Linked DNA regions of Drosophila melanogaster. The protein of the gene in region 2 interacts with the protein of the main gene of each other region in a pairwise test. Each region holds a gene or a part of one and is shown on either strand. Other genes may lie near its edges. The genes, in order: CG4367 and Gnptab.

Region 1 (3,408 bases), on a different chromosome or scaffold from region 2:
ACACTGTTGTTTGCGGTTTGTTTAGTTAATTGTTAAAAGGAAAACGTAAACCAATAGATATTCTTAAAACGCGACTTTTGAGTTTTGTAGTGAATTTACCGACTTATCGTTTGCAATTGACTTTTGAAGGCTTTGTAAAATATAAAAGAAAAGAATGCATATATATATACATACAACTTATTTGTGAAGTTAACTAATAAGCCAGTTAATGTGAAACATATTTTGTAAGCCACGAATAACTTAAGACAAATTACGAATATTAAAATAACATACAAGATACAAATACGAACATAAACAGGATAGCTTAAAAACAACAAATATTTAAGCACTCAACCGTGCAAATCTCATCCGATCGTTAAGAACACGTCTAAGACAGGGCTTTCAGAATCAAGAATTTAATAAGTAGGATCCATCTTAGGAGGAGGGAGTGCGATGCCCTGCACCTCAAAGACGAACGGTCATCACCAACAATCCACACACACACTCAAAACACACACTCATATATATGTATAAATAATATATACGACGATTAATTTATTGAATAAAACAGAAATAAACATTCATAATTTTCAAAATGGCATTTATTTATGGTGGTTCGTAAATACTTAACTATTATTGTCTTATTGTTAAATGGAACTTTTTGAGGTGCATTTTTTATCAAGTATTGTTAAATCAATACATAAATGAAGAATTGAAGTAATAAAATAACCTTTTCTTAAAACAAAATCGTATTGTTGATGAACAATTTGGAACAATTAGAAATAAATAAGTTACATAATTTATTGAGACTAGCAGTATTGTTCGATTGGCCACCGCTGATGATAACCACCTCACTTCGATTCCGCCACCTCCACGGGCACCTCCTGGATAATACTTCTCGCTGAGGATAGTACACTGATATCAGCGCAGTTAATAAAGGTTTCCTGCGCCCCACAACCCATGGCGCCCGTCCCATCCTCACAAACACCCCAATTATTTCCCGCCGTGTAAGTCCAGCGCAAAACGCAATGAATGCAGTTGAGATCACTGGGCAGTTTCACGGTTACTGGGATATCGCCAGTGGTGGTGTTAATGTAGTACTTCTGGCTACCGTCGGTGAAATTCAAAGGATATTGGTTAAAGCAATCCTCCGACTCGCTGCCATTTTCGTCCAAATCGCAGATGTGGAAGCGGAAGTAGCCCAGATGATTGGCTGTGATCTTAACATTAATTTCCGCTTCATCTACTCCGGCAAAGCTCTTTACAATCACTCCACTGCCATATTTTCCACCCAACTCATTGGGTCGCGGCTGCTCCAAGCTCCAGTCGTCTCCGCACAGTCCACATTTGCCATCATTTTCGGTTTGTTTCTAAAGGGTTAAGAACATCATTGAATCAAATGAATATAGAATTTTTTTAAGGCACTCCTACCCAAAATCCACCGCAATATAATGCATTGTCATCGTAGTTTGTTGGCGCCGAGTTATCGTAGCGCCAACGCGAGGATCTTCCGGTTGGACTTAACATCATACCGTGGCCCTCCAGTTCACCCATCCGGTTTAAAAAACCCATGCTAAGAAACAGGATAAATTTATACGTATTCATATTGATTTCACTTTCTTTGTGGCCAAAACGAACTGGTCGTGGCCTTATATAGTTCCATATTGCCAAACCTTATCAGTTGCCGGGCAGTTTATGTTTGTTTTTGATTTTTCGTCCAATAACCGTGAATGCATCTTATCGGCTCACAATCTTAATTTCGTTTATGGTTATTGGTAGTTAGAATTTGGGAGAATTTCTTGTATCTGACCTGGAAAGTGTGAAAACACATATGACACATCTAAGCAATACCCGTATTTTTTGGTAACCTAATCATAATAACTTGGAAGACTGCTTTATTATGCTATTATTATTTAGCCCACCAATGCCATTTTGATAGGAGTTCAAAGGCTTGGAAAAATTCTCACGATTTCGCAAAATTTGTTAGCCAAGGTCAACGATTCTTAAGTGCAATTACTTACTATTTTAGTTGGTTTTGACTTCAGCACTTTTCTGCCAATCATATATTGTAGTACGGTCCATACAATAGCCAAAAACGCAAATGTTTTTTTAAACAACAAATTTAGAGCACTTGCGCGCAGCTAAAAAAAATTGGCCACGTTTAAGTTCAGGGATTAAGCTGCTCGTATATTAATAAATCAGCAATTATTTAGTTTCGATTATTCCATGATGCCTCCAGATAAAACATGCGAGTACTTTGAAGCCACTATTTTCCTTTTTCATGGCCCTTTGGCTCAAAATAAGACATATATTTTAGCACATACTGCAAAAAAAGATGCATATCTATCTTCAGATTTCATAAATTTAAATTGCCCTATAAACACAATCTATTTGGTCAACTTTTGCGGTTATATGCTTTTGTTTTATCGATACAACGTGTTCTCAGAATCATCAATTAAGCATTAATAATCAAGGTGAAAGCGAACAAAATATTGAAATTTGCAATGAAAAGAATCGAACTATAAGTAACGTAATTCTGTTCTTTAAAGCCACTTCGCCTTCAATTTACACACTATTATTGTTATTATATATAAACAAATTTCTATTATTTTTTTTTGCTTGCTTTTTAGGTCAAAACCTAGCAGAAATACTGTATACCTGAAGGCCGTAGAACATTAACAAATTCTGATTTATACAATTTGTTGCATAGTTTTGGACTTAAAAAATATTGGTTATGATGTGTCTATCTCTAACATCTGTTTAAATAATGTATCTAAATTGGATAAGATCTCAAAATTAAACAGTAAATAAAACTAAATTTCTATAAATAGGAAGCAGCTCCAAGGACCCAATTAACTAATGTGTAAATGTTCACTCATTTATTTAAATAACTTTAGCTGACTATTTGGCATTTTGCATTTTCAGACATAAATGGCAGTTCGTTGAATTTTAGTCTGGATTTTCAGGCGACCTCAACCGGAGCCACTGGATCTCCGCCACCGACCAATTCCTTGACCAGGTTGCGACCCCAGTAGATGCTCACATCGGCGCAGTTCTTGAATGTTTCCTGTGGGCCACAGCCCAAGGCTCCGTTTCCGGAATTATCGCAGATGCCCCAGTTGTTGGCTGAAATGCACAAGATGTTCAATTAATTTTCACTTTAAGTTCCATTTACGTTCTGGCCACCACTTACCACCCACATAGGTCCAGCGGAGGACGCAGTGAGAGCAGGTAAGACCCTCCGGCAGGACGACTGTCACATCGAATTCGCCCATCTGATCGCCGATATCCTTTCTATCGCTTCCATCGATGAATCGCAGGCGGTTCTGATCGAAGCACTCCTCCGACTCGGCACCGAAGGCGTCCAGGTTGCACAGGTGGAACTCGAAGTAACCCAAGTGATTGGTGGTGATCTTCACGCCCACGGTG
Region 2 (3,928 bases):
AACCGATGATGTAGGCGGTTTACTCGGCGGCGGCATTGATGGTGATAGTCTTGCCCTTGGGATCGTCGAAGCGGTCCATCGTGTTGATGTCCATCATCCAGCAGACGCCGACGAACATGATGACCAGCAGTAGGGCGACCACAAACAGTCCCATCAGGATACCGGGCGTCACGAAGCCCACACAGTCCCAGGAGTCGCCGAAGGGAAAGTCCTCCTTGTACGTACCATCGAAGGGAGCCTGCAGCTGCAGGGACTTGAAGCTCAGGGTGTTGTACATGTTGTTGACGGCCGCGGACTCGAGGGTGAGGTTGCCGCACGAGTAAGAGAACGTGGTTGGGGCATTCACGCCGCTGGAGCGGAAGTTGTTGTTGTCGTAGACCAAATTGCTCAGACTAAAGTATCCGCCATTATAAACAACGTCAAAGGTGATTGGCTTGTCGGCGACAGATGTGTCCATAACAACGGATAGCTTGGTAGAGCTAGAGTTGGTGAGCTTGAGGTCGGTGACGGTGATGGGGTTGCCGTTGTAGAGCAGGGCAGTGTAGAAGATCTGAAACTGATTGGTCGACTTCCACATGATGCCACCGGTTGTGGCGGCGGTGTCACGGCGGGTACGACGCTGCACCACAGGAGCCGTGGAGGGGGCGGCCAGGTACAGATAAGCCACCTTGCACTCGAACTGCTTGCTGATAGCAGCTATGGCGGCGTCTAAATGTGTTAAATCATTGTTAAATTAGTGTGTCTTATTGACGCCTTTGTAGTACGTTATTGTTGACCCACCATGTGACTCCAGACTGGCCTCCCGGCTCTCGGCGGCGTCCTCGAAGGTCACAAACAGGGCCGTACCTACGGCACACTTGGCCGGCGTGGTCAGCTTTCCACTGGCATCGATGGAGTTGTGCTCGCGCTTGGCGGCCACTGAGCGCAGTGCCTCCGAGGGGTTCTCCACGCTGGTGTAGTAGGTCTTGGGGCTCACTCCCTGCAGCTGGGCGTAGCAGGACTGCGCCTGGGAGTTGGAGCACAGGAAGTCCTTGCTGCTCAGCTGAGTTGGGGAACAAACACATGTGTCACAAGCCCTAGCTATCTAAGTGGGTTCTCAAGCACTTACGCCATTTTCCTCGAAGGCCACGACCATGTGATCTTCCAGCAATGCAGCCAACTGCTCGGCAAACTCCACTTGGGACACCGTCTTCAGGGAGGGTTTCGCCACACTGTGAAAAAAGGAGGAAGGCACTCGTTACACTCACATTCAACTGGTGCAGGCGCTCACCCACCTGTTGGCTCCCCACAAAAAGACGGGCGTTTGCTCCGCCACGGCAGCCCCAATGACGCACAACGCAATCAGCGATTTCCACAACATCGCGCTGGATTCGCTTACTTCGGTGGGGGTTTAATGGAAACAAAGGAGAACGAAAAATGCATAAGTAAGGAACCAAGGAGAACGCAAGAGGCACTAAAAACCAACCGAAAAGTGAACTGAAACTACAAACGAAAAATGGTGGTGAAAATTTTCGCTTTGCCTTGCTCGACGTCGCCTATTCCAGTGAGAAAAAAAACCTTATGACGGTCATGTGATGCGCACCAGCTGACCGCAGTGCTGTCTAAAAATACCAAAAGCGTGAGATTAGGAAAATACTAGAAAAAAATTATTCGACTCTGAGAGCATTTAGTAAAGCCTAATTGGATATTTGCACCAGGAACTGACATTAACTGGGTTTCTTTTCAAAATTAATACTTATAAGAAAGTATAGTTTGTCAAATAAGGTTCATATCTTCGGTGTCCAATTAGCGCAGTCACACACCTTTCCAGCTGGAAACTGTCAACGGAACCGGTTCCGTTAATTCCACATGTTGATTCTTTAAAACCCGTATGTTCTATTTCGCACTGCTTACTAATAGTTTAATTAAATATCTAAAGAAATTCGGGTTTTATACTGATTGCTTTTATAAGCTCGATTTGAACCGAGTTTTTATTTCAGTCTTTCCAGTTAGTAATTTTACGCAGTTCTAGCACGGCCACACTGTCCCGCAGGAAAACAATGTTTGTTATGATTTTACTGCGGGAATTGTGTGTGAAATGTGCCATTTGAGGACCTGAGAATGCGATTACGCCGCCGTTGGCCGCGAAGGATGCGGCGTGCCATGGAACAACTGCGTCTCCAGTCCCGCCGGAAGCTGCTGGCGCTCACGAGTGAGTTACCTTGCTCACCAGCCCCATTACTTAACTAATGTTCTTTTTTTTTCAATTTTAGTGACTGGAGGACTCTGCCTGGCTATCTGGGTAGTTGCCAACTATCTGTCCGCATCGGAGGAGGGCCAAACCGGCGGCTTCAGCAGCGCCTGCACTGCCATCGATGCGGTTTACACGTGGGTCAATGGCTCGGATCCCAACTTTATTGAGGACATCCGGCGATTCGATGACAAGTACGATCCCTCGCGGTTCGATGACAAGAATGAGCTGCGGTACTCTCTGAGGTCCCTGGAAAAACACGCCGCATGGATCAGGCATGTGTACATAGTAACCAATGGCCAGATTCCAAGTTGGCTGGATCTCAGCTACGAAAGGGTCACGGTGGTGCCCCACGAAGTCCTGGCTCCCGATCCCGACCAGCTGCCCACCTTCTCCAGCTCGGCCATCGAGACATTTCTGCACCGCATACCAAAGCTGTCCAAGAGGTTCCTCTACCTCAACGACGACATATTCCTGGGAGCTCCGCTGTATCCGGAGGACTTGTACACTGAAGCGGAGGGAGTTCGCGTGTACCAGGCATGGATGGTGCCCGGCTGCGCCTTGGATTGCCCCTGGACGTACATAGGTGATGGAGCTTGCGATCGGCACTGCAACATTGATGCGTGCCAATTTGATGGAGGCGACTGCAGTGAAACTGGGCCAGCGAGCGATGCCCACGTCATTCCACCAAGCAAAGAAGTGCTCGAGGTGCAGCCTGCCGCTGTTCCACAATCAAGAGTCCACCGATTTCCTCAGATGGGTCTCCAAAAGCTGTTCAGGCGCAGCTCTGCCAATTTTAAGGATGTTATGCGGCACCGCAATGTGTCCACACTCAAGGAACTACGTCGCATTGTGGAGCGTTTTAACAAGGCCAAACTCATGTCGCTGAACCCCGAACTGGAGACCTCCAGCTCCGAGCCACAGACAACTCAGCGCCACGGGCTGCGCAAGGAGGATTTTAAGTCTTCCACCGATATTTACTCTCACTCGCTGATTGCCACCAATATGTTGCTGAATAGAGCCTATGGCTTTAAGGCACGCCATGTCCTGGCGCACGTGGGCTTCCTAATTGACAAGGATATTGTGGAGGCCATGCAGCGACGTTTTCACCAGCAAATTCTGGACACTGCCCATCAGCGCTTCCGAGCCCCAACAGATTTGCAGTACGCATTCGCTTACTACTCCTTCCTAATGAGCGAAACCAAAGTAATGAGTGTAGAGGAAATCTTCGATGAGTTCGACACGGACGGTTCGGCCACCTGGTCGGATCGAGAGGTGCGAACCTTTCTCACTCGCATCTATCAGCCGCCACTTGACTGGTCTGCCATGCGCTACTTCGAGGAGGTGGTTCAAAACTGCACAAGAAATCTGGGCATGCATTTAAAAGTGGACACAGTCGAACACTCCACGCTGGTCTACGAGCGATACGAGGACTCTAATTTGGTTAGTACTTATGATTATATCTTACAGATTTATATTAATTGCTGACTGCTCTTTTAGCCTACAATAACCAGGGATTTGGTTGTCCGATGTCCACTTCTGGCCGAAGCTTTGGCGGCAAACTTTGCAGTCCGACCCAAATATAACTTCCATGTCAGCCCAAAAAGAACTTCGCACAGCAATTTTATGATGCTCACATCGAATCTCACGGAGGTGGTGGAGTCACTGGACCGATTGCGTCGGAATCCGCGCAAGTTT

Evidence for each region.
Region 1: the proteins of Gnptab (region 2) and CG4367 interact in a two-hybrid assay, tested with the Drosophila melanogaster proteins (one large-scale study listed by BioGRID).

What each region holds. Positions count from the first base shown.
Region 1 is NT_033777.3:20,303,372-20,306,779, forward strand, and holds CG4367 (uncharacterized protein), read right to left. Parts: upstream 1,607-3,408; 5' UTR 1,585-1,606; coding exon 1,411-1,584; intron 1,350-1,410; coding exon 831-1,349; 3' UTR 584-830; downstream 1-583. Other genes in the region: CG4362 (uncharacterized protein), read right to left, coding at 2,942-3,105, 3,173-3,408.
Region 2 is NT_033778.4:9,205,197-9,209,124, reverse strand, and holds the start of Gnptab (N-acetylglucosamine-1-phosphate transferase subunits alpha and beta), read left to right. Parts: upstream 1-2,000; 5' UTR 2,001-2,100; coding exon 2,101-2,191; intron 2,192-2,252; coding exon 2,253-3,673; intron 3,674-3,730; coding exon 3,731-3,928. Other genes in the region: VhaAC45 (vacuolar H[+] ATPase AC45 accessory subunit), read right to left, coding at 20-708, 781-1,042, 1,109-1,211, 1,275-1,360.